Linked DNA regions of Caenorhabditis elegans. The gene in region 1 interacts genetically with each later gene. Each region holds a gene or a part of one and is shown in the gene's direction. Other genes may lie near its edges. The genes, in order: cdk-12, ark-1 and lin-12.

Region 1 (10,757 bases):
AGTTTGTTAAATCCAAATTTTTCGCACATTTTCTTGTTTTTAAAAGTTAAAGAAGTAGTAAAGTCAAAGTTCTGAACTCAACAGAGTATTCAAAAACAATAGTTGACTTCTGAAAGAGTTGAATCACTAAATGTTACACTACGTCAACAAAACTAGAACAAAACGAATCAATTTGTTGTCAAGTGATACAGTTACGCTAAAAAGTATCAAACTCAGATAAATGATAAAATGAAATGGGAGAAAACAGAAGAACAACACGTCCTTGTGGCCCCACGGAGAATTGATACGGATGAGAAGAGAAACAGAAAAAGAACAAATGATAGATTGATAATTATAGAAGATGTGGATAGAGTCAATTGATACAAACAGGCTGAATCTATCCAATATCTTCACAATTTATATAAGAAGTGATAAGGAAACGATTTGGGAAGTGATATGATACTCATTCACACAAACAAGTTTGTTCGTTGGGGAGCTTTAAAAACTTTGAACTGGTCAGAAGAAAAAATTTCAAAAGAGTACTCGAAAAGAATAACGTTCAGAAAGAAAGGTTCAACATATTGACACTCAGGATGTTGTCTATAGGCTCAAACATTTTTAATATATTGAAGCTTTTAGGTCAAGAGACATCTGCAAGACAATTTTCGGCTATATTTAATTTCAAAATAATTTTCTTTTATTTGTATTTAGTCACTTTATTTCAAAAATGACCAGTGAAGTAGATATATAAGTTCCATAAAAAGTACTATATCTTACTGGTCAATTGAGAAAAAAAAATTTCAAAACCAAAATTAGACTATAAATATCACAGAAGAATTTTCCGGCCGACTGCGAAGTATATAGAGGAAAACTTAGATTTTCCCAATTTTCAAATTTAAATAAAAATCGTCAAAATCTTTCTAAAAATTTTACTGTGATATTTGGTACTTTTAGCGCTATATAAATAGTTTTTAGATATTTATAAATAGAATAACATAAACATAAAATTACAAAACCACGAATTTCAAATGTTCACAAACCAGAACAATTTACTGTTTGTTTACCAAAAAAAGCTATTTCCAAATCCCAATTTAATCCAACCGATTTGCTGTTGTAATCCTTCTAGTCCTCATTTTTTCCAACGAAAAAAAAAATTTAATTTTCTAAATTTAAAAATTTCAATTATTTTGTTTGTTGGGCAAGTGTGAAATTGGCATAACGGTAGTGGAGATTTCAAGGACATTTTGAATGGGAGATTGTTGCAATAGGTGTACACTACGCTCAGTTGGAGTAAGATTTTTTGAATTGTGAGCTAATTCCCTTTTGCCAATTTTTTTCACAGATTTTAAACAATTTCAATACACTTTATCTTTACAATAAACTCTTTGAAAAAAAATTAAATAACTTGCAACAGATAGAAAATAAAACAAAACTCCTCTGCCCATTTGTATATCCTTTCCTGGCTATGAGGCCACACGTAAATAGTAGGCAAACCCGAGAGGCACTTCAGAGAAAAAAAAACAAAAGAACTTGTCTACAATACGTGATTTGTATTCCAAATAGAGGTATTGAAAAGAAGAGAATCGGCGTGAAAAAAGAGAAGAAGAAACGAGAATATATATTGAAGAACTGTCTACGAGAGTGGAAGAAGAAAATGTGTTGTAATGAAGAAAGAAGGGTGTCATGTTTTGACCTATAATTGGGTAAACAATAGATAGTGAAACTGGACTTTATAAAATACATAAAAGCCCAGAAAATTTGAATTTGCGCGGAAAATCCGACCAATCAGCCCCTTCCGCGCATTGCTATTTGGCCGGAAGTCTCCTAACTTGGACTAGGCCTGAAATAGTCAGAAACATGTTCTTGAACTGAAATTGCACGCAGTAAATTTTTTTTGAATAGTTTTGTATTTAAGCTAGAATAAAATAAAATAACTTCAAAACCGTTCTTTACTGGTTATTGTATCAAAAAAAAAACGAAAAATTTTACAGAAGGGAGCCGGCAGAGCGGGGAGGAGTCGTCCTGTGACTCATCGACCTTATGACATAGTAAATGGTACCGATACCGTAACCCAATGCTTCACGACACATTGCAAAAACTTCTTATTGTCTTTCAGAATTAGGTTTTTGGTACTACAGTAACTACAGTAATTTGATAAAATTATGCATAACCTTATAGTTTTTAGAAGATTGATTTATAAACAGTTGTATGTACAATTATGAATCTAATAACTTTATAGGTCGTTTGGATCCTTACTTCAACGTTAACAGTTCGCATCTCGGCCATCTTAAATGTTATAGAAAAAGTGTCAACAGCAAAAATGTTCAAAATATTTTTCCTATAATTTTGTAGTTGACAACCTTTTGATATTATCACAAATTACTGAGATAAATGCTTCGAAAGTTGTGTAGAAATGAAGAACAGGCGTGGTGTAATTGCAATTCAAAAAAAACGTTTTGTATCCAAATTTCGAAGTAATTACATACATGAATATTTAAAGTGTTGAATGTCGACCTACCTGACTTCAAATCTTCTTTTAAAGAATGATAGAGAGGGAGAGAAACAGAGAAAAATACAGAAAACTTGTTGAAACTGAAGATTGTTTCCAAATAGTCTGTCTTCAGCAAAAAAAAGTAGTGACAATCTCGGGATTATTCTTAGTATTTCTTAAGACGAGGTAAAAGTTTTCTTTCTCTCTCCTCTTTTCTGAATCCTTTTTCAAAACGAAGAGAGTACGTAGTTCAAGGAGACACAGACAGTGTCACTCCAGAAACTGTAGAAGAAGTGGACACTGACGCCCATGGAGACTGGGGGCGAACGACCTCGAATGAGGTCATTCGGGATAGACAATAACGGAATATTGAGAGAATTCGAGAGACGTAGTGAATTCGGAGGATTTTTAGGAATTGAGATGATGAGGAGGAAAAGTTGATGGAAAAGAATATGTTTGAAGTAGGCAAGAGAGAGGTAATTTGGAAAATAAGTAGTCTCGAAAATGTTGGAAAGGTTTTTTGAAAAGTTGAATATCCAAAACTTCCAGACAATTTGAGGAAGCGTACTAGCAGCATCAGATCGCCTATCTCAAACAGTATAACGGCCATTCGATGATGTATGTACCCTAAGAATGATTGTATCCTCTGAACAAAAAATCGCTCGGTGTACCCTATGTCGATGTACCCTTGGATCATGGGCCGTTAGAAATATTACCCAGTTTCGGAATTGTCAATATTTTCATCCAGAATAACGGTACCCGGTCTCGAAACGATCAAAACTTCGTAGCTACCGTACCCGTTAGCTACAACTTGAAACAAAAAACGAGTTTCAATATGGATCTTGATATTACCGAAATGCAAAAATTTACGTTTTTTGCGCCAAAAATACGGCGTCGGCAAGACTTTTCGCCGATTTTTGATGATTTTTCTGCTGATTTGTTACAATTAGTGTATTTAATTTTTTTTTTCAATAAATACATATATTTTTAACTAAAAAACTATTAAACAATCGATGAAAGTCCCGCAGCAACAAGTTTCGAACTACAGTATTCTTTGAAGAAGCATACGCATTATCATTGCGTTTGACAAAAATGTGTCGTGTCGAGATCGAGTACCGTATTTTCGGGACGAAAATCACATTATTTCGCTACTGGGTAATACAAATTTAAAATTTTTGTTCAAAAAAGAGAAAAAAATTGCAAAATACTTTTAGGGACGGTAGCATTGAAGTTTCGATCGTTTTGAGACCTGGTAGTATTTAGTTTTCCGCCAAAAAATTCACATTTAGCTAATAAGATATGTTCTTAAAATGATCATTTTTGATTAATACATGCTTTACCAAAGTTTAAAAAAATCCAACGTGACCCGGCGCAATTGCTCAAAGAGCCATTCTTGATTTGACTGCAGGTTAATTTCAGGCCAGCTTTAATCCGAATAATAATCAGCTGAAAGCTCCCGTGATCCAACTCTTTCTGCGATCCATTCTGTATACAAAGTTGGGACACCTGAAACATCTCATTCCGAGGTTCTAAAAAAGTATTTTTCAAATTTGTATTATTACACTAACTTTCAATATTCCTTCTTCGAGCAGTTTTGCACGATAAAGCTACAATAAATTGACTATTCTCGAGCTCTTAATCGATAATTTAAATTTTTCTATGAGATTGCAGTTATTTAATTGTTCAGAGCAAATTCCAGCATCAGTTTTACTAGTTTTTCTCCTGAAAATGAAGAAAATCTAGAAAAACTCGACATAAGCGCCACCCACTGAAGGAAAGAGTGTGCAAATGTGAGAGAGACGAGAGAAAGAAAATGCAAGCGCCGCACGGTTTTCGTAGGCGGGGCCAATCAATTTCGATGCCATCCGACTTTTTTCTCTTTTTTCCTTTCTTTTTTAATATTTTATTGATATTTTAAGAATAAAAACTTAAAAAAATCTAAATATCCTGCGAAATAACAAATTTAGTTCAAAATCCCATAATATTTTCTCATTAAATTCATTAGCCAACGTGAGAAAAATGCACTTGTGTTTATTGATTGAAACTGTTTTCCTGTAATCGCATGATTTCAGTTGGTTTCATACGAAAGTTCAGACCAAATTCGACGCATATTGCTGCCGGATAGAAGAATAGCGTTGTAAGTTCATGATTATTTATTTTTGAAAAGGATTTAACAAATTGTTAGCCTGTCAAATTCGAATTTTTGCAGATTCAATGAGTTTCGACTCGTCGACTGACGGCTCGAATTTGGCAAACAGTGATCGATCGAATAGTAGTTGTTATCCTTCCAAACAAGACGGTCAGTCTTCGAAACAACCAAGAAATCCAATTGAACTCCAGTTTTCTTCCTTCGCTTCCAGTTTCATGTTCTAACATTATATTTCAATATTTTGTCGTCGTTGTGTCGTTTATTTTTTTTTGTTTTCTCATATTTAATCTCAAATCTTTAATATTCTTATCATTTTCAGCCATGGAAATATCGCCAGGTTCTTCGACACACGAGAGAGATCGAAAAGGTTCCTATGGACATCGGGAACGAACTCGCAGTCACAGTGGATCGCCTTCCAGATTTTATTCAAAAGACAAAAGAGGAAGTTCGAGACAAGGTGTGAGACCGAGAGATCGAGACTCGAAAGATTCAATTTCTCCACAGTACAAGCAAAGGTACTTTTTCCAGATATTAATTGAAAATTGGATTCTTCAATTAAAAATGCTGTAGCAGAGTTAAAGTTATTATCGGAAAATTGCGTCATTCGCATGATTTTTTGGCTGTATAGTCTCAAAATATGCTCAAATGAACTAATTTCGTAATAAGACATCTCAACATTTTTATGGCGGTTCAAAATTTCGAAAAAATGACGAGATTTTAGCTAAAATCTCCAACTTCGCCAACTTTTTCGTGACGCAACTGTCGGAAAACTTTTATCGATTTATCATTCCTTATTGCATATTTTGGTGATTTATCTTCCGTTTTTCATTGATTAAAGTAAATTTAAAGTTGAAAGGTAACCAATTCCGGCGATTTTTGGTTACCTACGGGCTTTAAATGTTGCCTAATCAACAAAATAATATGAGATAAACTACCGAAAAATGAAAGCTAATATCCGACCGCTGCGACTGGGAAAAGTGGTCAAAATTGGAGATTTTAGCTAAAATTTTAACTTTTTCCAAAAAAGTTGTAAAAGGTGAGCTAGTTTCAGGAATTGGTCCCGAGGCGGTGGCGGTGGTGGTCGCGACCGTGGACGAAACGATTTCAGCTATCGAAAGAAAGGCAAAGACTACAACAAACGACGAGATAAACGAAGCCGTAGTCGAAGCAGGCATCGATCACCGAAACGAAGTGGATCTTCGAAGAAAAGCAAAAGGAGAAATTCGTCCGGATCGTCGTCATCTGATCTGTAAGTTTGGATTAAAATCGATAATTTGTAGAGCAAGCGATGGAATCATAAAAAGATAAACTTGCCTGCTAATATCCCAATAGTTTTCTCGCAAATATTCGAATAATAGTCGCCAGGATTGCCATACATTGTCTGACTCAGAGAGGAAGGCGGGGCGCTGAACTGATGGTGTTTTCGCTGTGCTGGGGTGTGACTCCTCCCTTTTCTGACTTGTGCCAAATCACATACTCTGATCACTGGATCATTTCTACTACAAAGCTCGAAATGTTCTGACTGTGTGTGGTGCGGTTTTGTATTTGAAGTTTTAATCCAACCAGTCGGAATCCTGAGGAGCTTCCAGATAGAACATAGTTTATGAATCGCTGCACACCTTGTTCTAGTTGATAAAATTCTTTAGCATTTTCAATTGAAAAGCGCTACTTGATTACATTTTACGAATCCGTTCAACTTCATCCCAATCTAAAAAGACGTCACGTGTTCAATACACGAGCTTCTCTGGTGGCAAACTGTCAGTAACTAGCACTACTTTTCATAAGATCTACGTTGAGATATATTCCAATTAATTTTACTATAGCAGCTTTAAGCTAACTGAAATATCTGACCATTTGCACAAACCTACCGTATTCTGACCATTTTCTTTCCCATAACATTTCACTTTTTTAAAAGGGGAAAGTGTGAGGCAGGTGTCCCTGAAGGTCACCAATTGCAACGGGTTTTCAATAAGCATCGGTTTTAAAATGGGCAAAAAATGGAGAATGAGGCTCACGCTATGGCTATTGATATTAATATCAATTCTGTGGCGACCAGGCTATTCTCTCCATTCCCCGACTACATTGTTTTCTCTCTACGTCCATTTTTATCATCTCGTTGATTCGTTTTTTGCAAGAACTGATAGCCATCTCGAACTGGATCAACAATTGAACTAGGTCATTAACAACAAATCTTCTATTATATTGTTCATCTTGCAACATTTGATAGTTTGGAATCAGAGGTTTATAGAATATTATAATTCTGAATGTTTCAATGTGTCCTCTCACAGACGGGTGATTCATTCTTGTTTTACAAGCTTCCAAACCGTATGATCAATTTTTCCGAATCCGCTGATTTAATCATTTAACGTTCGAAGACTAAATGAGAAACTCACCGATACCTGTGTGATAGAAAGCTTATTCAATACCAAAATCGGCAAGTCCATTCAACTGGTCGATTTACATTCCGCCCGTCAATTTGCACTCTCATCGTATGCCCATTCCTCATCCAATTGTCTATTTCCTCGTGTCCTTTTTCCACCACAAAAATATCCATAAAAAAGAAAAAAATGAAGAAGATGCCACAACCACCAAAACATTCGGTTCCTGTGCAATTGAGACGTAGAGAACACGACGAAACGACCCTTTCTTCACTTTTTCCCCCACTCCTTCTCCATCGTTGCGCACACCCTTTGAGTCTGTTTGGGTCCCCGTTTCTCTGCATTCCTATCTCTCTGTCACTTCCAACCAGCGCCATCGGTGAATGAAGCTTGACGGCGGCGCCGTCCCCTTCGTTTTCCATCAGACTGCGTCTCTCCGTCGCCTCGTAATATCTCGGCATCTGAAATTTCTACGTCTCTCTCACACTGTTAGCTTCACCGTTGTCCATTCTTCTTTCGATCTCTCCTGTCAACGGGTGCCCCCTCCGCGACACTCAAATTTCCGTTACCGTCGCGACAATTTCAATTTTTTGTTAGAACCGTCTAGACGTATTCTTCTGTAATATCATGCGTGGCTGGCAGAATAATCATAATCATCGTGACGAACGGGGAAGACAGGTGATGGAGTCATCTGGGTAAGAATTGGCAAATTTTAGAAATTATATACTCCATTTGAAAAAAGTTCAGCATATCACCAATTGTTAAAAGTTGCAGAATGGATACCTCATTAATGAGTGAGTTGAAGAAGCACGGAGACTATGGATCCTCTTCGAAAAGTAAAAAGAAGAGCCGAAAGCGTCGAAAGCACAGCAGCTCTTCGTCCAGCAGTTCAGGAGAAGCTGTAAGTTTTTATTAGTTCTCGTTTTGTAGACTAATAGCTATATATGTGTAAGAAAAAAAACTAATTTCCTATTAGAACTAATCTCGAGAGAATTGGTTGTCATGAGAACAAACAGAAAAAAATTCACACTTTCAGAAATAATCGAAAAATTTGAAATTGAAAAACGAAAATTTTTCGAAAAAAAAGTTTAGAAAATTAACAAGCAATTTCAAAACTTATCAAATTTTGTTTTATCTTGAACAGAGGAAAATTGTCAGTTTTTAAAGCTATTTTTCGAAAATTCGATTTTTTTTCTAAATATCGGAAAATATGATACAATTTTTTTTCGACTTTCTTTTTTTAATCGAAAAATCTCTTGGCTATCGTGAAAAAAAACAACAGAAATTAAATTTTTAAAAAACCTATTAGATTCCAATTGACTTTGATTTTTGCAGATGGATCTACCAGTTTCTTCAAATGGAATGAATGTGACAGCGATTCCACCTCCACCATCATTCAATATTAATCCATTCCAGCCAATGTTCTCACAGCCTCCACCACCACCATTAGTAAGTTTTGGATTCCATCAAAAACTGATACAAATGCCCGAATTCCCGAATTTTCAGCCTCCAAATAGTCAATTCATGACGCCTCCACCTCGTCCACCACCAGCACCATTCAGTATTCCACCACCATCGGTTGACATTCATTTTGCCGCTACTGCAAGCTTTTCACTTAGCTCCATACCACCACCACCACCTCAAACCGATGGTGGAGCATCAAGCTCAAAGCGTCAAGATCCGCTTCCAATGCCACCGGATAGTAAACGGATAGCCACTCGGCCTGTGTAAGTTATTTGAAATTATTTTGTTGCTTTTTTTGAGAAATGCCAGAAAATCGGAAAAAAATTCATATTTTTCTGTTTTTTAATCGAAATACCGAAAAATGCGATTTTCTGGTTTTTATTAGCTAATCAGAAAGAAAAATTGAAATCACTCCGAAATCATTATTTCTCATACGGAATTCAATAATTATGTTACGGTTTACGTCGTTTTTTTTTCTTACAGAAAAATTTTAATTTAAAAAAAACCGAGCTAAACCAAAAGATTGAAAAACGAACAGTTTTTTTTGTTCCTGATTTAGAAGATTTAAAAATAAATGTTTTAGGTTTTCTTTTTTGTTTAAATTAAAATATTTCAGAATAACAACCCGCCGTGGACACGCAACAAATCGACCATCAGATTCTGATTCATGGTACAAGACAAATTTGACTCACTACACAATGCTTGATCAAATTGGCGAGGGAACTTATGGACAAGTCTATAAAGCAGTCAATAATCTCACTGGTAAGCTAATTTTTTTTTTTGGAAAATCAATATTAATGCTGTAAATTTCCAGGTGAACAAGTAGCACTGAAACGAGTACGATTGGAAAATGAAAAAGAAGGATTCCCAATCACTGCAATACGAGAAATCAAGATTCTTCGACAGCTTCATCATAAGAATATCGTCCGTCTTATGGATATTGTGATTGATGATATTTCGATGGATGAGCTGAAAAGAACGAGAGCTAATTTCTATTTAGTATTCGAATATGTGGATCATGATTTGATAGGACTTCTTGAATCGAAAGAGCTCGTCGATTTTAATAAGGATCAGATTTGTTCATTGTTCAAGCAGCTTTTGGAAGTTCGTTTTTTTTTTCAAAGAAATAATTTTCAAAAAAAAAAAACGTTTTTACTTTCAGGGACTCGCCTACATTCACAATACGGGATTTTTACATCGGGATATTAAATGCAGTAACATTTTGGTGAACAATAAGTTAGTTTTTCTTCTTGAATTCAATTAAAAACAGATTTTTATTGGAAAATATTTCTTTTTTTCAATTTAATAAAAAATAGTAGTACATACTAATTCAGCTCAAAAGAGCAATTCAGTAGGAAAAAACTTAAATTCCAATAAAAATCAATTTTTAATGGAATTCCGGTTTTTTTTTGAAATCGGAAAACGAAAATTTTTCGTTACGCGATTTTCAAAAAAAAAAACAATCAGAACTTTAATAATTTTGAAAATTGTTTGCAGAGGCGAGCTGAAGATTGCTGATCTCGGACTGGCACGACTATGGGAGAAGGAATCACGATTATATACAAATCGGGTTATCACATTATGGTATCGACCACCAGAACTACTTTTGGGTGATGAACGTTATGGGCCTGCAATTGATGTTTGGAGTACGGGGTGAGTGGCGAAAAAAACTTAAAAAATTTTTTTTGTTGCAAATTTGAAAACTTAACAAACTACATTTTTTATATTTTCTGAAGTTATGAATTTTCAGAAAAATCGAAAAATGTGAATTTTTCTAACATTCATATTTTTTAAACCAATTTTAGAATTTTCAACAAAACAAATTATGATTTTTTTCCAAAATAAATTGGGAAATTTCAAAAAAGTGACAACCTTTTAAAGAAATAATCTATGCAATTTCTAGATGCATGCTCGGCGAGCTGTTCACCCGAAAACCGCTTTTCAATGGAAATAATGAATTTGGACAGCTCGAGTTGATTAGTAAGGTTTGTGGATCACCGAATGTGGATAATTGGCCTGAATTAACCGAATTGGTTGGATGGAACACATTCCGAATGAAGAGAACTTATCAGAGACGTATTCGAGAAGAGTTTGAGCAGTAAGAATGTCATATATTCCGCTGGAACTAGAATTTTCAATTTTTCAGCATTATGCCACGTGAAGCTGTCGATTTACTCGATAAAATGCTCACTTTGAATCCAGAAAAACGAATTTCTGCAAAAGAAGCTCTGAATCATCCGTGGATTCGAAGTTTGGAACATACGACAGTTCAACCACTCAAATTACCTCAACATCA
Region 2 (10,579 bases), on another chromosome or scaffold:
AATTGGTCAAAAGGGTTCAAAAGGTTCTAAATTTTCCAAAAAATACTAAATACCGTATTTCCTCTATTAGTATTGCACCCGACTACTTAACTTTAAAACGCTATATCTCGCTTCATTTTATAGATATCAATATATTATGAACTTCGAAATGATAGAAAAAGAATTAACAAATATTTTGTTTGTTGACAATTATTAAATATGACAAAAGGTAACTGAGATATCAGCTGTCAAAGTTGAAAAAAGGAATTTAAAAAGTTCCAAAAAGAGTCAAAAAGCGAAAAAGCAACTGTTTGAGCTAGTCTCTCAGGGTTCAAAACTGTCTGACTGAACTGATCTGAAAGGGTCTGGCAAGATTCAAGTGGATTGAAATGAGTCTAAATAGTCCAATAAACCTCTTATTTTCTTGCCATGTTGTCAAAAAAATTCGTGTCAAAAAAATTTTCTAACTACATCTCTTTTGAAAATTATTATCACGTTCCAACAGCTTGGGAATTGATAGTAAAACCTCGGCCATCGACTTTTCCTCGGTTCCGATCCATAGCTGTTGTCTTTATTTTTTGACCTGGGCGGTCATCTGGCATGCCACTCCACTTTTATTGCCCTTCCGTTTTCCTCTCTATTCTCCTTCTTCTTCTTCTCACCTCTCCATCGTTACTCGTATGTTCATCCCTCTTGTCACCCATTCAATTTCACAATGATTCCTTGTTTGTTTTTGTCTTCCGGTGTAAATCATGAATTAATCGTTTCATATTATTTAATATTTATTGTTAGGAAATTCCAAAATTTTATAATTTTTCCGGCGCTCGATTTCATTTAATGTTTAAAATGTTTACTTGATACTTTTAAAAATTTGGTAGTCCCGTTTTGCCAGTATAAAACTCACCGAAATCACCAGAAAACAATCAGATTTTTAAGACTTTTAAAACATTTACCTAGACCTTAAATGTTTTTCTAGGTTTTTCAAGTTTGTGAAAAGTTCCCATTTCTTGTTTCTCCTCCAAAACCTGTAGAAGACACAAGTTACCATTTAAACTTTAATACAATTCAAATTCTTGTCGGAAGCGATCAAAAATCTCAAAAAGAAAATCGTTTTCTAAAATCTCTCCGAACAAATGTGCCTATTAAGAACAACAACAGTCAAAGGGAGTAACAATAATGACTTATAATTGTTCGAAGGGGTTTGTTATGTGTATTTGTTTGTTTGTAGGATAGTCTCATTTTTAATTATCCTATTCCTTGTCTTTGTTTTACCCAAACGTTTCACCCGGTCAAGGCGTGCTGAGGGCGCCTCTCTAGTGGCCCGAAAGTTTCAGTTTATCCAAACATTCTGAAAGTTTTTACAACTGTTTTTATTATTCGTAATATCTCCCTCTTTTTGGACGAAATTTCGAAAGTTGAAACATATGCAATCGGTTATTCTGCAAACCTTTAAAATTAAAAAATTCGACGGTTCTTTTTTCAAGTTTCCAACACTTATAGTTTATTAAAATTTGACTTTTTCCAAAACTGAAATTTTTTAATCAGCTCAAAAAATTGTAGATCACCATTAACATATAATTAGTGAAAGCCACCAATTTTTTCTAGGCCATCAATGCAGAGCCTTTTATTCAGATTTTCTATTGATTTTTCTATTGGTACCTAAATAATGTTCCATTCTTCGGTCATTTTCAAACGGAAACCTTTTCAATTTCACTTTTCTCAAAAGCGCCACCTATATCCAATTATCTCAATTGATATAATATCTAAACGAAGAAAAAGATTTGTTCGTTTTGAATATGATAAGTGGGTAAAACCATCCAAAGGGGGAATAGTGTGTCAATTTATGAGAGACGGGTGTCTTCTTCTTCTTCAACAGATGATTCATGTTTGCCTAGAGATTCTCATTCTCTTACTCTCTCTCTTACGGCCAGTTGGGTATTCATTGTGTATTTGGGGGTGTGTTTGTCGGTATCTTCTTCTTCTTCATTTCTTTTCATCAAATCGTTTACGGTCTTCTCTGTTCAACAGTCTGCGTCTCTCTTAATTTAAGCCACATGCTCTAGGAGGTTTGATTATTCTGATAGTTTTTTTACTAAAAAATTTTTTCTATACTTTCTATTCTTCAAAAAAAAATCAAAATTTCATGAAAAATTTTTTTTGACTTTGCGTATTAGACCCAAAATTGCCCAAAATTATCAAACTTTTACCGAGCTGTTTGGAAAATCACTCAAAAAATTTATGACTTTTCAAAGAGTTGAAAAAATACCTAATTTTTTAAAGGTACATTTTTGGCCGATGGGTGCACAAATTAGGGGTGGGCGACAACTGCCGTTCGGCAAATTGATTTGTCGACAAATTCGACAAGTCGGCAAATTGCCGGTTTGCCGAATTGACGGAAATTTTCAATTCCGGCAATGTGCCGATTCGCCGGAAATGTTTAGAGGGATTTTTTATAAAACGGAAACACTGAAAACTAAGTCTTTTTTGAATTTTTTCCGCTTTTTTAAAACATATTTAAATAGAATTCGCTTACTTTTCAAAATAAATGTAGGAACATTCATGGGATGCGTTTAATTTTGCCATTTGAAATTGAATTTTTGAAATTTCCAAAAAATAAATGCGAAATTGTCGGAAATTGCCGATTTGCCGGAAATTTTCCATTCTGGCAATTTGCCGATTTGCCGATTTGCCGGAATAAATCGTTTGCCGCCCCCTGTCACAAATATAAAGAGCATTTAATAACATTCAGGTCAATTTTTTCTAGTTGTGTTTTTTCAAACCTAACGAACATTAAAGAAAATAATACACATGCTACATATGTATTTAAAAGTGTTCTACATCAAGTTAACCATGGCAATATAAATTTTAATGATGGTTTTTAACAACAAAAAATGAAAGAAAAGATACCGACAGACACCTATAAATACACTGAACTTTAGAACTTATCAATGAAAAAAAAACTTGGAAATGTGCTATGTAGACACCATGGTGCATCAATTGAAAAAAAAAACTGAAAATTGGGAAAAATTGAATTTTCATATAAAAAAGAATTAAAAAAAAACATATCCTGGCTTCGCAGTGTTACGCTATTCGAAATTTTGTGTGCAGTTTTTTCTGAAATTTTCTTTTCAGTATTTCATCTATGATTTTTTTTAGAAAAATGATTTTTCAAAACTTTTCTTTCATCTCGTGGCAAGACCTATCCGAATGAATTCGTGCGCCTTTTTAAAACCTTGCAAAAAATTCAAAAACTTTAGAATCTCCGTAACAATAAAGCAAAAGAAACTTTACATTCATTAGCTAATTGTATCTAACCGTCTGCGCCTCATGTTCGCTTGAAGTCATACACTATTTCAAAGTGTACTTCAACTACAACCACCAGTACTACTATTACAAGATATTCGCCCTTTTTTCTTTTTTTTTCTTTCTTCTCCATGTGTTTCCACATCCAATTTGATTGATGGTCTTTCCCGTTTTCTCCTTCATTTTTTCGGAATGGAGCTCCTTTTTTTATTCGATTGTTCTCGGGATATATGCAATATTAGAGTTTTTCTTTGTTTTTTACGTTTCCATGTAGTATGCTTTAATCCTTTCGCATTTTTCTGAAAATATTGCTTAAAGGCGCACGTAATTTTCCGGATGGGTCTCGCCGCAAAAAAAACAATGGGTAATAAATATCACTTATTGAAGCACTTTTGGAGCACATCCATATTTTAAAAATCAATGTATGTTGTGTTATTATCACAATTTTAAGTTTAATTAATTAAAGAAAAAAATTGAATCTACCAAAAACTTTATTCGCCGCGAGACCCATCTGGCTAAATCCGTGCGCCTTCGACTACAGTTTTCAGAAAATTGAGAAGTTACGATATTGTTTAATGAACCATGCGGCGATAAATTCTTTTCGAAATTTTTTTTCAACTTCCCGTCTTTCTAGTTTAATTCGAATTCAGAATAGTATCAGTCTAGTTAATGGTTTTTGCGGGTTTTTTATTTGAAAGCATTTTAGAAAATTTTATGGTAGCGCTTTCCGATTTTTATATTTTTTATTTATTTTCATGATTATCATTCGAAATGCTGAGAATACTAAATAGCAGAAATTGCAAGAAAATTTTCAAAGAAAAATCTAAATTTGTACCATACACGTTTGTTTCTCGTGGCGAGACCCAGTCGGAGAATTGCGTGCGCCTTTAAAAACATAAAATACGATACTTTTTCGATACATTTTTTTAACAGAAAAATGTGAATCGTCAATATATTTACATTCCGCAGTATTTCGCTGTAAATGCCTTAAATATTTTCTATTTTTTTTTAATTTCTATTTTCGAAAAATACTGAATTCTCCTATTGCAACAAACTTCCATATTTAGTAAGTTTTCAACACTACATAAATGTGTATTGGAAATGAATTGAAAAATAAAGGGAAGCACGCACAAACACGAATTTGTCGAAATAAATGAATTTTTGCCCGGTTCATTGCACGCAATTCTAAACATGCAGAGAGTGGAAGTGAGAGTGACCAAAAGTTTTTTTTGTTCAATGTTCCTGGGTCTCCTCTCTTTGCATGTAGAAATGTATATCCAATATCTTTTTTTGAACATCTTTTTTCCAAAGAAATGTTTCATTGATTTTTGTTGAAACTCAAATTTTTTAATTTTTTTGAAATTGATTTTTCAGTGAAAAATTGCTCCATTTTCTTAATTATTTATTAGTTTTCAAAAAAACTAGCAATTTCAGAAGTATCAAACACTGTACTCCTTAAAGGCGCATAGCATAAACTTTAAAATACGTGAAATCGTTTCGAGAACTGGCGGGTACGGTATTTGCTATTTTAAACTGTTTTTTCTTCATTTTCTGAACACGTGTCAACACATCCTCCCACGCCTTTCAATTCTGTTATTTTTCCGTTTAAATTGTGTAAAATTGACTGTAAATTCTAAAAATTGCAGGCAAAACAAACGTCAACCGGGGGTAGAAACAACGAAAAAAGAAAAATATTCGAAGAATGCGAGAGGAGCCGACGGCGGGTACCGCTGATGCGACGCTCAATAAACTGCTTCAAGCAGCCGATTTATCAGGGTAAGAGCTGGAAAATTAAGATTATTTGCTGAAAAATGGGGTTTTCAGAAGAAAAATTAACAATTTCTGCGTAAAAACCGAGATTCAAGTAATTAAAAAATAAAATTTTCAGCTACGAATCAGATCTCCGTCGAAAACTAAAACTACGAAATGCTGCCGATTTACAATATGTCGAAGAAGTCGATTTGTTGTCTGTTGGTGAGGATTTTTTTTTTAATCTCAATGAATAATTATTTTAAAAATACCGAAAAAATCACAGTTTTGTTAGTTTTCCACTCAAAAATAGAACAATAATCTCTGAAAAAAAACCAGAATAACTTCTTTAAAATTCTAAAAATAATATTCGACAAAAAATAATTAAATTTGTTTTGTTTTTTTTTTCTACTTTCTGCCTCTAAATACCATCAATATTTACACAACGATTCAATCGAAACAAGTGTTTATTTTTCTCATTTTTCAATCGTATGACTGCTCATTTTGTGGCCATTTATTTTAGTTTTCTTTTTTTTAATTTGAGATTTTTTAAAATTAGTTTATTTTTCTCTGAAATTAAATTAAAAATTGATCGGAAATTAAGAATTATATTTCAGAAAAAAATCCGAAAAATAAACTTACATTTTTCAGGAATGAGCCGCCCGGAGCAAAAGCGCCTCCGAAAAGAATATACAAAAATGTTTCCGTCTGGAATTTTTGGAAAAGTGAAAAAAGCATTCAAAAGGGCGGAAAGTTTGGATCGAAAAACTTCGAATTCAGTTGCAAATCAAGATGATAATGATCATCATGTAATTCCAATTGAAAAGTGAGCATTTCTGGGAAAAACGTGGAGCAAAATGGAAAATTAAAAAAAATTTTTTTAAAAACTCCAGAAAAAAAGATGTTTTGGCAAAAGATCATTTTTTCAGAATGAAAAATTTGAAAAAATCGAAAGAAAATTAATTTTAAAAGTATGGTATTTTCAGAAAAAAAAACAAAAGAAATAATTTTTTTTTTTCGAAGATTAAAAAATAAAAAATTTTTAGCAAATTTTATTCCTCTTCGCAAGAATAACCACCACATAAAAATATAAGTTATCTACAAAAAAGTGAAGAAAAATATCTAAAATTTAAAAAATCTGATTTTCGTTATTGAAAATCAGAAAAATCGGAAATTTCCAAGCAAATTTGCATTTTATTTATTTTTAGGTTTTAAATTTTAATTCAAGTTTCCTAGAAAACAAACTATTTATTTAAAAATTCCTTGTTTTCAGAAAAAAGTACAGAGGTTTCGACTTTCCGAGATTTTGCAAAATCGAAGAAAACTGTGTTTGCAAATTTGACATTACATCATATTATTTTTTCAACATTGAAAAATCTCTTTTAAAATTGCTCGATTTAATTTTTCGAGAAAATTAATTGAAAACTAAAGTTACAATTTTCCAGAATAACGCTTTGCAAAGAGTTGGGACAAGGAGAATTCGGGTCAGTTTGGCAAGCAGGATGGAAGAATTCAGCAGGAAGTGACGTCATTCAAGTAGCCGTAAAATGTGTTGGATCTGATAAACTACTTGCCACGTCATCATCATTTTTACAAGAAGCTGCAATTATGACACGAATGAGACATGAACATGTTGTTAGACTATATGGAGTTGTTCTTGATACGAAAAAAATTATGTTGGTAAGGATTTAAAAATTAAAATCTAAGCCGGAACAAATCTGGTAATATTAGAATTTTTTGTATATTCAAATTTTTTGTCATAAAACCGAAAAAAAATTTCAAAAAACAATGGAAAAAATATCGTAAAATAGAGTTTTAATGCAATTTTCGATTTTGCTAGAAAAACCCAGAATAAATATTAGATTCTCGTATGCCTAAACGAAGACAAACAAAGACCATTTTTACAGAAAAAAAAAATACCGAAAATTATTTTAAAAATTGAAATTTTTTATGCGACTTTTGAAATTAAAATTAGTATTTAAAAATTGTTTTTAATAAGAAATCTCTATAGAACCCTAGAGCTTGATTTTTTGCATTTTTCATCAAAAAAAGGAAAAAAAAACGGAAAAAATGGTCCAGAACGATGTATTCTAGCCTGAAACTGTCAAACTCACAGCAAAAATTGCGCACTTCTCCTCCTCGTGAGAAAGTTTTAATGATAAAAAATCATAAATTTTCGAAAAAAATTGAACATTTCAGAATTATCTAAAAGTTCAAAAATTATAACAAAAAATTTGCAGGTCTCGGAGCTCGCAACATGTGGATCTTTGCTGGAATGCCTTCACAAACCGGCTCTCCGTGATAGTTTTCCAGTTCATGTTTTATGTGATTATGCTGAACAAATTGCAATGGGAATGTCATATCTTGAATTACAAAGACTCATTCATCGAGATCTTGCCGCAAGAAATGTGCTCGTTTTCTCACCGAAACTTGTGAAAATATCAGATTTTGGACTATCGAGATCTCTTGGAATTGGTGAAGATTATTATCGAAGTGAATTTACACCGAATCTTAAGCTTCCTATTGCTTGGTGTGCACCGGAGTGTATTAATTTTTTAAAGGTATTGCAAAAAAACATTTGCTGAAATTTACCAAATTTTAATTTTTCCCCAATTTTGAACAATTATTCAATTTTCAGACCCCTTTTTGTTCGAAAATTTCACAAAATTTCGGCCTAAACTCCGATAATTCGCAAAAATAAATATTAAAAACGAAGAAACAAAAAATTCCAATAAAATTTTCTTTTTTTATTTCAAATATTACATTTCAAACAAAATTTTAAAAAAATGTATTTTTGAAAAGTTTTATTTTAAAAAAATATTTAAAATTGAAATGTTATAAGAATTTTTAAATTCATACAAAAACCGTTTTTATAATATTTCTAAAAATCTATAAAACATAATTCTTTAACATTTTTAAATTAATTTTTGAAAAGTTCTGAATTTTTAAAATTTTCCGAAAATTAATAAAATATATATTTCAAAATTTCCGAAAATTTAAAAATTCGGATTTTTAACATTTTTCATATTTTTTAAATGCTCAAAATAATTTACAAAACAATTTCCAGTTCACCTCAAAATCTGATGTCTGGGCGTACGGAGTAACAATCTGGGAAATGTTTTCCTATGGAGAAATGCCATGGAAAGGACGATCGGGAGCACAGATTCTTGAACTTGTCGACAGGAAAAAAGAGCTTCTTACAAGACCAAAAGCATGTCCAGAAGATATTTATGATATGTTAAAGGAAACATGGACACATCAAGTACAGGATAGACCCACATTTTCCGATATTGTCGCTAAATTTCCGGAAAGAAGAGCACAATCTGTGAGAGCTGTCGTGGATTGTAAAGATTCGGCCGCCGATCATTTACATTTTAAAAAAGATGATTTGATTGTTGTTATCAGCCGATCGTGAGTTAAAAATGACTATGAAATTCGAAAAAATTTTTACAAAGTTGTTTGAGAAATTTCGGAATTTTTGGAAGCAAAATTTCCAAAAAGTTTTCATAAAATTTGGAAATTGTTTAGAAACAAAATTTTACAAAAATTTCAAAAAAAAATTGCCAAAATTGTTTGTAAAGTTTTGGAATTTTTGGAAGCAAAATTTCCAATGATTTTCAAAAAGTTTCGGTAAAATTTGGAAATTTTTTAAAACATTTTTTAGAAAATTTTGGAATTTTTTGGAAGCAAAATTTTCACAAATTTCTAAAAATTTTTGGTACAATTTTTCGAAATTTTTGAAATTTTTAAAAACATATTTTCGAAAATTTTTAAATTTTTTGGAAACAAAATTTTACAAAAATTTCCAATAAAATTCCAAAATTTTCCAAAAAATTTCAAAAAAAATCCTGAAAGTTTTGTAAAATTCACAAAATTACAAAAATTTCCAAAAAAATCGAAAAAAGAACATTTTCTTGTTCCAAAAAGTTTTGATATATTTTTTGGAAAATTTTGGAAACAAAAATTTCCAATAAAATTCCAAATTTTCCATCCAAAAAAAAACAGTTATGATGACTTTTACGAAATTTTTTTTTTTGAAAATCCGGCAAAAATGAAGAAAAAACGTCGGAAAATGCTCTGAAATTTAAAACGAAATAATTTGAAACAAGTTTGAAATATCGATATTTAACATCTAATCTAATTTAAAAAAATGGCAAAAAAAAAACACTAAAAATATTAATTTTTCCCCAATTTTCAGACCAGCTCAATATCCTGACGGTTACTATTGGTTCGGATCTTTACGCAACGGAAAACTGGGATTATTCCGTCCAACGGATACTGTAGCTCATCTAGGATCCGAACCACCGTGCTCAAATGGAACAATTGAAAATGGATTCAGTGAGAAAGAAAAAGGTGGAAAAAAGAACAAAAAAGCTGAAAAAGAAAGTGAACGAGAACGTAAGAAGCTTCTGATAAGTGAACCAGTCGGAGATGTCCGTCACACGTGTCACGTGGGTATTGATGGAACTGCATTTGGATTACTACAATTGGATAAGAAGGCAATGTGCCCGACTTCATCGTCACCGTCAACGTCGAGAGGATCACAAGCTTCGCCTGCGCCTTCTCATGTTAGTTTCGCTGAATCAAAAAAATCGATTGAAAAATAGAAAAAAATTGAAATTATGTATTTTTAATTAAATTTTAAGAAAATTCGAATTCAAGAAAATTTGTACGGATTTATCTGATTGGAAAATTTGAAAAAAAATTCGAAAACCAAAAATACTATTTTCTGGGGAAGTCGAAATAACAATTCGGATTTTATTTTTTCGAAAAAATATAATTTCGATCTCCAGTTTTCAGAAAAAAGAAATACAATAATTACTTTTTTTCGAATTTCTGAAAAATCTTTTAAAAAAATGGTTTCAATAAGTTTTAAAATTGTTGTTCGAATCTATTAAGAGTAATAAAGGGGAAAATATGTATATAATTTTTCTTTTAAAAAAAGGAGCAAACCACAATGTTAAATGGTTTTCGAAAATGTTTTTTTCACAACAAAAATTATTTTTAAAAACGTTTTAATGGTAAAATCGAACTCACATTTTTTCCGAGAACAAAAAAAATCGAAAAATTGCAATTTTTGGTTTTTTTAGAGAAAATTGAAATATGGAACACAAAATGTATTCATTTTTCCGAAAAATCAGATTTTTTCTTGAAAAATCGATTGAAAAGTTAGCCGAAATCACATTTCTCAACAGCAGCAAAAAAAAAACTAAAATTGTGATTTTTTCAGAAAAAAAATCGGAAAATTAAAATAAAAAAGTTTTTTCGAAGCAAACGATTTGTCAGATAATCTAATTTACTTTTATTACGATTGTTAGTCGTGAAAAACATATACAAATAATAATAAGAATACAAACAAAAAATTCGAATTCGAAATTCGAAAAAATTACCAGAAACAAAACTGATGAAAATTCTATAGAATTGCTAAAAATCGAAACATTTAATTTCAACAAAAAAAACAAATTTTCCAGACCTCATCCTCCACCACTTCATCAGTACATCTCCGTGAAACAGTTGCCCGTAATGGTGTCCCAATTAAAGAGACAAT
Region 3 (10,328 bases), 4.7 Mb from region 1:
AAACGTTTTCCCGAGTTTACTGTATTTTATTATTTATTCACATTTCATGTCATCCCATATAAAAATAAAATTTTATTTTTGTATTTTTATGAGATGGAGCACCTTCCGTGTTATGGGTTTTCGGTCCCGTTTTATTTTCTTCGTTTTTTTATTTTTTGGTTATGGTTCCCATTTAACACCTAAACGTTCTTTTTCCCAGCCAACCGCACCTCATGATTGTGCTTATATTGATCTTCACTCTACCTACCGTAATCTCGCAATTTCATTTATTTATTGTCATCAATTGTGACTCTTACTGCCACGTAACATTCCGTGACAATGAAATGCAATACTACAGTATCATGGAGAACACTGCACAGATTTCAAGACATTTTGATGTTCCAGTGGAAAGAGTCGAGTTTCAAATTGATAATTTCTTCAATTCCACTGATTTTATGCCGGTGACAACGAATCTGGATTGGGTTAGTCATCTTAATAAGACCTTTTATCACAAAGGAGATGGATTCATGATTATTGGACACTATTTCTGCCCAGAGTAAGTTTATTTTCAATGGAAATTTCGGTGTTTTCTCAATTTAGATTCATTGAATCTTTAGTTCCCCTTCCAATATTCACAATCAATAGGAAATATAACTTTTCAGAGGAAGCTGTCTCGTCGACCACACCCGTTCCGAATACAATCAAAAAATCGATAAATGGTGCTGTGCTCTTGTTCTACTTGGTTTCTTATTCTTCTTGCTAATCAGTGGAATTGCTGATACTATTTTCAAATGGACAAAGAAGAAGTTAAATGGGAAGAAGATTGAGTCACAAGTCTATAAATCGTTGGAACTTGTGGATATGTCAAAGAAAAATGAAAATGCGCCTGGTGTCGGAGCATGAAAAAAAATCGATTTACTGTATATAATTTGATATCTGTCGCATTTCTTCTATTAGTCTCACTCCCGGCATTTCTTTTGAAAATTTTTCAATTTTTTATCAAACATTATTAAAATTAATAAATTTCGATATGAACTGTTCGAGTTGTAGGGAGCAGACGAATACTGGAAATATGATGTTTTATTTCTCACTTTTACAGAGTATGATCCCGGTTTTCTTTTTTGAATAATATTTTTGAATAAATATTTGTGGTATTAAAGAGGTCAAAATGTTTTTCTTCATAAATAACAAAGCGGTGATTCTTTGAAGCACTTTCTAAATAATGATGGCAAATCATAAAAAATGTCAAATACCCAAGTTTCCAACCCAAGTTTTATAGATTCATTCAAACAGTTACATAGATTGATTTATTGCCCTAAAAATTAACTCAGTCAGTTCACTATATGTTGAACAGAATCCGGAAGGATTAACATAACACGTATCTGTTGGATTACTGTAGATTAATGTATAAAGTCGAGAAAAGTTATGGTAACACTCTCTCGTGTTACATCATTGTGCACAAATAAACCGGAAGAAGAAATTGGGGTCTTAACCAACCTCATACATTTTCTGGAGTTCTAAACTTGCGAGTTTATGCATTGAAATTTCGAAGGAGCCGTACTTGAATCAAAGTATCAAATGATAGAAGTTATTATGCTCAACTTAATTTGGAGTAACACCAGTGGGAAATGAGAAAATATCATTTTCTAGTGCTAAAGCTGTTGAACATTATAATTCAAGTAAATTTCGAAATCTTAACAAATCTTAAATCTTAAGATATTCATTTCCAGTCGAAAAGTGTAGATGACTCTGTTTTTCCATATCATGATTTCGGAAGTTGGCCAGAAGAATGAAAAATGGATTTTCCATCATTTTTTAAAATTTTAATTATATTTCAAAGGCTTATATTCAAGCATTGTAAGGGTTTCTGCGACATGGCTCAAAATGTCTCAGAAAGTCATTTTGAAAAATTTGTTCAATTACCAAAACTGACTGAAAATTTAGAAAAATCTAAAAATGTTCAAAGTTAGCATGCTTGAAATCGGATTGAATTTTCAGAAAAGAGAAAAAAAACTTTTAATAAAAATTATGAAATGATCAATAAACATCTGCAACCTCTACTTTCCTAACAATGACTCAAAATTGTAATCGAATTAGCAATAAACCATCGACAAAGGTCTTCGTGTATATAAATATTGCCAGATTGTCCAATATGACGATTCCACCTGTGCAACTGGAGATTGTATAAGTGTACCTGAATCAATCAATATTCAATATCTGCCATCTTGTGCCGAAATGTTGATTCTTTTCTATTTGTTTCATATTTTCGATTTCTTTTTCTTTTTCGTTTTGTTCCATTTGGCTTCTTTTCTACTACTACGTACGTTGATAACAACATTTTTTGGGGAGGCATGCGCCCACGCTAATAATCTCACAATTTCCCACTAAAAGGTTAGTTTTGAAAACATTTTCCCATTATTTTTAGATGCATGATCAATCAGTAAAAAATCAACTAAAACACAAAATAATCATGAATGGTTGAGATAGAAGGACACAGATGATGATGCACTTGTGCAAATAAAAGTAGGAGAACAAGGTAGCCCCATTCACAATATAACGGAAATTTGAATTTTCTTCAGCAACATTTTTTTCATTTTCATAAGATTTCCTATTATCTTTTTTGTGGTAATTTTAAGATTTGACTATTTTAAAACAAAATACCACCAAAGCTGATAATTAATAACGGCCTTCTAAAAAACCAGGTTTTTATAGAGCTATTGTTAATGCCATTTTTAAATGTTTTCTTAAATGTTACACTCATTTATTAACAATATTGTTATTTTTGAAACCTTTCCTTGGCGGGTTCCCATGCCAATAAATCAAGTCAAGAGGTCTTGAGACTAATCCGTCGACGACAGTTCAAAGTTGCCGGTTGATTGTCACGTCACATGTATATGACACCACAGTAACAGACACCTGTGCTCCTGTTGGCTCATCCATCATTTCCGTGTTTTGGGAAAATAGTAGTTAATTGGTAGCAACAACTATGCGTGAATTTTTGCAACAAATTTGGTTCAGATAGCAATTAATTGTCGAGAATAAGGTTATATTTAATTGTGTGAAACAGTTAAAAAAATAATCAAAAAATGATCAAATCTGTTTGAATTCCCGCCAAAAACAAACGCCCACTTTTGAACCAATTAGCGACTTCGGAATTTCCATACTTAATCTGATTGGTTGAAGAATGGGCAGAGCGAATTGCTGATTGGCCATGCAGTTCTCGTTTTGGAGGTAATTCAAATAGAGAGATTAGAAAACACCTTGGAAAAAGCGTGTTCAATATTTTGATTTGTTTTTTTTTCTAATTCTTACTCGATGTGTTTAGTATTTTCAAGCTCTTTCAGCTTTTGAACAGGAAAAGCTATGAAAAATCTCTTCCGCCTATAAAATGGCTAAAAATCATTTATACAATCTTACAGTTGTTCCTAAATGGATAAAACCAAGATATTACTTTTTGAACAAAGCTTAGAAATTTTTTGCAAGTATTGATGTATAAAACTAAAAACTATAAAGTATCCGAATAAACAGAAATAAACAGAAATAAACAGAAATAAAACTCTAAAACTGACACACAAAGACCCAAAAGCCGCAAATCACCATACGTTCCCAGCAGTTCGTTTTCCTCATCTTGATCATTCTTCCTTCCGTTCCCACTCTCTTCTCTTCCACCTCCTCCTACTTCTACTTCATCCAACCATCTGACATCGTCGTTTCATTTTAAAATCATCTTCTCCTCCTTTTCTTTCTCGATGAAAAAAAAGTCTACTTGGTGGCCGCACCGCGACCGCAACAAGTTGGGCGGAGCCATCTGTCTCTCTCTCTTTTGTGTTCATCCTACCCCCACCCCTTCGCCCTCTCTCGTCCTTTTTACTGGGTGAAGACATAACAATAGCCACCCATTTTTTGATTGGCATTTATTTATCCTTAATTAATGATAATGCAAAAGCTACCAGGTTTGGGTTTTATTAGGTTTCGTTTATTGGTAATAATATATTCCTACAGCTCTCACGAAATATTTAAAATGTTTCGAGCCAAGTATTATAGTTTTAAGAATTGATCCTGTTTCCTTCTATTTTGCCCTTGTTTGTTAGTTGACGATGACTGTATTCCTCTTTTAGTATTGCAACTCACTACTTTACTTTGAAAGGTAATATCTCCGCTCATTTTGATGATATCAAAAACTGATTTTCTGCACAATGGAAAAAATATTTTGTCAGCTGACAATTATTATTTAGAACAAATGACAACTGAGATATAAGCTGTCAACACTAAATAACAGGGGTGCAATATTAGTACGGTCCGATCCTTTGCATTTCTATACCGTTTTACTGTCGTCAACTTTCAAACAACGAATTCACTAAATTAAATAATTCAAAACCATTTTCAGAACCTACATGATCCATATCTAAAAGCTAATTTCCTGTCTCTGTCCGCCCTATTGCTCAACAGACTTTGCTCAATTTCAAAAAATGCGGATCCCTACGATTTGTTTTTTATTTCTTCTTATCTCGTTATCAAAATCGCTTCATATTGGCTCATGTCTTGGCTTAATATGTGGAAGAAATGGTCACTGCCATGCTGGACCTGTCAATGGAACTCAAACTTCTTATTGGTGCAGGTATGTGAAGATTTTGCTTAACAATACTTAAACATTTTTTCAAATTTTAATTCAACGTAAAATAAATAATACAAATCTACACATTTTGAAAACTAATCTTAAAAATACGCAATAAATTGGGGGTAAGGAATATTCCTAGGAATTATGGGATTTCCTTTACAAAATTGTCAACTGACCAAATTTTTGTTATTTCTCTTGCTACCGTTTTGTAGTTACCGTATTTCCTCTATTATTCTTTTATTCAAGACTATTAGAGGAAATACGGCAATTCTTTTTATATCTTTGAAATTAACCGAGTTATAACTTTACAAAGTTAAGTAGCTAGGTGCAATACTAGTAAAAGAAGTACTGTAAATTATAACAAAACATTGTTTGTACCAGTAGACTATTCTTCCATAATCCATGCCCTTTTCAAACAATAATTACGTAATCCGTCTTGATTTATAGCGGCATGTGCTCTCCGTTGAGCAGCTAGCTCCTGATAAGATAGGTGATATGGTTCAAGTAGAGACACGTGTCACTTGAACAACACACCATTAATTTATAGTTGATGTTAATTAATAGGAGGACATTGTTCGCACGGGTTCCCACCATTTACGAAACTTGCGCAACAAGAGAAATGAGCGAGTAATGAGAGAAAAAACCCCACAGAGGAGACACCTGCGTCGTCCCTCGCTGTAGAAAAAACTTTCAATTTTTTTGGGAAAAAGTGAGGGAAAATATTGTAAAAACAATACTTTCAGGGTGTTATGGGAAAGTTGGAAAAAGTCGGGTTTTGGATAAATCAACTTCAGAAAAGCAATTCTCAGCCATTTTTTTCCTGCCAATTCTCGTCTCAAAGTCGAAGAAAAACCAGGCAATTAACCCGCTGAGATTCTCATTAAAATGCGAAAGAGAAGCAGCTTTTCCCCCTCCTGGTCTCGCACCGCCGCCAAAAAATCACCCAAATCGGTAGTTTATTGCCATGGGAAAACCGAAAAATACGGGAAATTGAGGGGAGAATTCTTCTTAATGACAAAAAAATACTGGTCTTCCACATTTTTCTTATCAAACAAAAAAGAATGGGGTAGGATTTATGACCAAGTTCCCAAAAGAAATGACCAATGGGGGGTTACTGTAAGATTACTGTAGCTGGTTTTGAACTCCCTATCAGATGTATTATCTGTCAAAGTTTTTCCCGAAAATTTAAATAGAAGTATAGAAAAATGTTTGCACTTTCTGAAAATTGCTTTACTTTCAATTGGCAACTTCGGAAAACTGCAACGAATGCCACTTTTACTCGGCATTTTGAGACTTTGAATGAGAAAAAGAATAGTCTTCAAAATTGCTTATCTTATCACAAATGAGGACTCAGTTGCCACCTCACAATTTTACAGCCGTGTTCCCAGTTTTGTCGGCAAAACATACTGTCGAGTGAGCCTACCATCAGTTGTCATAAAACCATAAAACAATAGGATTACGGTGCCTTTCGGCTGCACGACGTCTTTAATCTTTAACCCTAACCCTTCCCAATGTTTCAGATGCGATGAAGGATTTGGTGGTGAATATTGTGAACAACAGTGTGATGTTTCAAAATGTGGAGCCGATGAGAAATGTGTTTTTGACAAAGATTATCGGATGGAGACCTGTGTCTGTAAAGGTAAGATAATGTAATTTCGAGCTGAATAACTTATACACAACACTTCCCATTGCATCTCATTTTCCTGCAAAACCAATGAGCCAGTAGTGGTCACTTTTTTGCCCAATTCCCATAGGGACCTAAACACCCATCACTCATTTTTTTTAGCCCTCCATGGTGGCGGTGTTGCGAATGAAATGTTTTTTTGGCCCAAAATTCCAAAACTAGGGTCAGCTGCGCGCGCCCTTTTGTCGGTCATCTTTTTGACCACACCATCCATCATAAGCACATGCCTGGTGGAATTGTGGCAAACAACTGACAAAGTTGGGGGTGAATAATAATTTGAAAGTGAATAGGTGGATTTGAAAATTCAATGGAAGTTAAGAAACTAGGAATTGTATCATTTTTAAGACTAAACGAAATATTCGAAGATTAAAAAATAAGAATTTACTTACTCATTGTTAAAGCTATCACAGGTATAATAGCAATAGGCCTATAGGCAACGCGTATACAGGTCTAAATGTCTGCTTCACGCTGACTTGCCGGCCTACCGTCTAATTTTTTAAATGTTAGCTTGAACTCTGTAGTTTGCTGTAGATTGATGTTGAAAATTCAACAAAAATTGAAGACATTAGAAGATTGGAAGTTTGTGGCTACATGTGTAATTTATGCGAAACAGACGTAGGCTGCCTTGTAGGTAGCCAGGCAGGCATTTCCTCATATTTCGAAAGCTTACGAAAACTATGCTTTAAACTTTATGCGCTTACCATTCCCAACTTTCAAAAATTTTACTAATCGTTTTCCGTTAAACCATTTATGAGTATTGCTCCAAACTTCATCAATCTGTAGTTAGTAGATATTTAACAAAGTTACGGCAACCAAACACCTCAATATTTCATCATGACTCGTTTGTATCGAGGACAAATTGAAGCGCGGCCAATCTTTTTCCATTTCTCTTCAGCTCATTTGTCTTGTTGGCGGCGTTAAAAGTGACCGCGTAAGGTGCCTGATAGATAGCTCCTAGGTCATCTGCCCCTCCTAGCCTCTCTGTTTCATGCGCGCTTCTCTATTGTCGATGCGCTTCTTTTTGGCGCGATTTATGTCTGATGTTCGGTATGTGTGAAGAGGGCGGTGAATTGGGCGACGACCCGATGGCGCCTCGTGTGTGTTGCCAATTCTTGGGAAAAAGTGGGATAAATGACCTAGAAATGATGAGCAGATGATGATAGTATATAGGATTTGATGTAGCAGAAGTCTGTCGGAGAAGAAGTGGCAGACGTGGGAAAGTATACATTTGGTTATTGTACGACTAGGCTAATAAGCAAATATACAAGTGGAATGGTTACAGGGATAGATCAATTTATATATTAAAAATAACTGTCTGCTTTTGAGTTCATATGGGTAATGTAGGAGTACTGTAGTTTCTGAAAAAGTGTTTTTGTTTTTTGAAAGGATATTGGAATGAGGTTAGTGGATACATGTTGTATGTGTACTGTAGTGGTAATGCAGGATACTGTAGGGAACTGTGATTATTGTAGTACAATTATTCATTCAGATAATTATTCCAGTTCAACACAAAAATATCCTAGACTTAACTTTTTCTAATATACAGAATAATTATGATAGTAAATTTCAGATTGCGACATTAACGGAAACAGTCTACTAAAACCAAGCTGTCCATCCGGTTACGGAGGTAAGTACTTCCATATTCTAATGCAACAATAACCCGAACAAACAAGTGTAACAAACCACTAATAGCGCCCTGTAATTATCGGTTCCGATTACGTCACAGTACACTTGAGCAAACTTAACGGATTATTGATGGGCATAGTTAGTTTAACAGAGACAGGATTACTGTAGCCGTATGACTTTCCCGTCAACACCGATCATCTTCGAAATGACTCTATAATTACTGGGGGTCGTCTTCTTGACGTCTTGATAATAGAAGGTCGTGGGAAACGAATTCTGAAATGAATTCAGATTCAAAACATTCTAGGTTACGGTATACTTTTATTGGGGCTTTTGACACGTTCCACAGTAGTTGCAAACCCGAAAGGAAACCCCACTGAGACTAGGTGCTCCACCTGTTGTCGGATTGATATAATCTAAAAGATCATGACTGTTGCGTGTTTCCTTTAGTAATAAGATTGACACCTAGTCTCATCTTAAAGATATGTCTTAATTGGCATGCAATAGGCAGTGGTATATATTTAAAAGTGTAATAAAAAATTTTAATTCAGAAAAGAAATTGTGACTACTTCACTTTGAAAGGTTATATCTCGGTACATCTTTGAATATCAATTAATAACCAAGTACTAACCTGTAGAAAAAATTAAAAATGTTTCATTAAAATGTTTCGTTGACATTTTTCAAATAGGACAAACGACAACTGAGATATAAGCAGTCAAAGTTAAAAGAAATACGGTATACGAACTTCCATGAAATACGAGATATCCTTGATGTTTCTGAATTTCAATTAAACCCAATTTTCTAACAAGTAACTATTTTGTTCGCGGTATTACCTTCACAAAGTAGTCTAAAGATTGTAATGAGTTTGTCATGGTGCGTCGGCAAACTTTTTGATGTGATGTATGTCAACTGCCGTGCCTCTTTTTGTGTTGCGAACGAATTTGATACTTGTGGGAAACCACAAAATATAGGGATTAACGAACTAAGGATTACTGTAGATTTACTGTAGAGCATTTCAGGAGACGACTGTAAGACACAAGGATGGTGTTACCCGTCTGTCTGTATGAATGGTGGACAGTGTATTGGAGCTGGAAATCGAGCAAAATGTGCATGTCCAGATGGATTTAAGGGGGAGAGATGCGAACTTGATGTCAATGAATGTGAAGAGAACAAAAATGCATGTGGAAATAGGAGTACTTGTATGAATACGGTTGGTTAATTTATGATTATGTAGAAAATATAGAGTAGGCACTTTTAAGACACCCAACTTCTTGTCAGTTTTTGCAAGAAATTTATATAAAAATATAGAGCAATATTTGTTAAATCGCAAAATATCTGTACGTTTAATAGTAAGAATTGGGAAGCTTCTCAAAAACCGACAAAAATATTAGAATGCCAATCGGCATATAACGCTTGGCACATTGCGATTTTGCGGCAGTTTTCAGCAATTTCATTAAAATTCCAATTGAAGGTATAGATACTTCCGGACAGAAAACAAAATTTCTCTATTTTTCGACATAAGGATTTGACATGAATCCGTAAAACGCAATTTATATAACTTTTAAAACTTTACTAATTAGTCCTTGGTTGATATATATATATATATATATTTGTGCCACAAGTTTTAGTTACCAATACAATAGGTTTTGAAACTATGTATGACACCGTTTTTGGTATTTGAATAGAACATCCCTAGAGTGTTGCCTGAAGCTAAATCCAGATCAATTCTAGAATTGCATAGTTTCCCATCGATTACCGTAGTCCTTTCTGCAGCTGGCGATGCGAACCGACACGCGCGTACTGCCCGGGCGAGGGTGACGACAAAGAAATTTGCCGCCCTTCGTTTTGTGCGTGTGTATGTATGTGATTCAGAATATTTGAGATTCAAGGGCGTGCAAATATTATAAGAAAATGAATAATAAGGGGAGAATAATTTACGGTTCCGGTTAATGTTTGTACATCATGATGTAACACAAGAACATATTACCTTGATAGATCTAGGTTTTTTGCGGTAATCCACAACAAGTTACATTAATTCAAACACTATTAATCTGTTTATCATGTCATTTGAAGTAAACATTTAAAGTTTTAAAAATTCAGATTTGCCAAAACTTTGACTAAAAATTGGAAAAAAGATTAAACGAATTTCAAAATAAAGTACCGTATTTTTTGCTCAACTTCGACAGCTCTTATCTCGGTTATTTTTGGTTTTAACAAAACATTTTTAACAGTAAAAACATGATTCGACTATTTATATATATTTTTTTCTTAATTAATTAATTTTTTATGAAGCTAAAGAAAACCGAGATATTAGCTGTCAAAGTAGAGCAATGAAAATTGAAATTAAAGTTCATACTGTCAGAAAGTAAAAATCACTCACTGGTCAGTTTTCGCTTATATGTAGTGAATCTGGAGATTTTGGAA

The links.
Region 2: of cdk-12 (region 1) and ark-1, changing one enhances a phenotype caused by changing the other (phenotypic enhancement), as found in Caenorhabditis elegans (one large-scale study listed by BioGRID).
Region 3: of cdk-12 (region 1) and lin-12, changing one enhances a phenotype caused by changing the other (phenotypic enhancement), as found in Caenorhabditis elegans (one large-scale study listed by BioGRID).

The regions. Positions count from the first base shown.
Region 1 is NC_003281.10:4,328,456-4,339,212, forward strand, and holds the start of cdk-12 (Cyclin-dependent kinase 12), read left to right. Parts: upstream 1-4,536; 5' UTR 4,537-4,607; intron 4,608-4,679; 5' UTR 4,680-4,769; intron 4,770-4,938; 5' UTR 4,939-4,940; coding exon 4,941-5,134; intron 5,135-5,670; coding exon 5,671-5,868; intron 5,869-7,771; coding exon 7,772-7,898; intron 7,899-8,332; coding exon 8,333-8,446; intron 8,447-8,503; coding exon 8,504-8,724; intron 8,725-9,077; coding exon 9,078-9,223; intron 9,224-9,275; coding exon 9,276-9,565; intron 9,566-9,623; coding exon 9,624-9,697; intron 9,698-9,958; coding exon 9,959-10,114; intron 10,115-10,364; coding exon 10,365-10,559; intron 10,560-10,607; coding exon 10,608-10,757. UniProt on the Caenorhabditis elegans protein: Cyclin-dependent kinase which displays CTD kinase activity: hyperphosphorylates 'Ser-2' in the C-terminal heptapeptide repeat domain (CTD) of the largest RNA polymerase II subunit, thereby acting as a key regulator of transcription elongation.
Region 2 is NC_003282.8:12,625,372-12,635,950, reverse strand, and holds the start of ark-1 (Ack-related non-receptor tyrosine kinase), read left to right. Parts: upstream 1-4,928; 5' UTR 4,929-4,984; coding exon 4,985-5,058; intron 5,059-5,170; coding exon 5,171-5,256; intron 5,257-5,682; coding exon 5,683-5,857; intron 5,858-6,476; coding exon 6,477-6,711; intron 6,712-7,271; coding exon 7,272-7,592; intron 7,593-8,098; coding exon 8,099-8,442; intron 8,443-9,229; coding exon 9,230-9,599; intron 9,600-10,502; coding exon 10,503-10,579. UniProt on the Caenorhabditis elegans protein: Probable tyrosine protein kinase which plays a role in vulva development, probably by acting as a negative regulator of the let-23/EGFR and let-60/ras pathway. Involved in the negative regulation of germline development.
Region 3 is NC_003281.10:9,065,509-9,075,836, reverse strand, and holds the start of lin-12 (lin-12/Notch intracellular domain), read left to right. Parts: upstream 1-4,364; 5' UTR 4,365-4,448; coding exon 4,449-4,597; intron 4,598-6,117; coding exon 6,118-6,236; intron 6,237-7,851; coding exon 7,852-7,908; intron 7,909-8,923; coding exon 8,924-9,114; intron 9,115-10,328. Other genes in the region: F02A9.7 (CX domain-containing protein), read left to right, coding at 213-535, 642-882. UniProt on the Caenorhabditis elegans protein: Essential signaling protein which has a major role in many developmental processes; involved in cell fate decisions that require cell-cell interactions. Probable membrane-bound receptor for putative ligands lag-2, apx-1, dsl-1 and osm-11.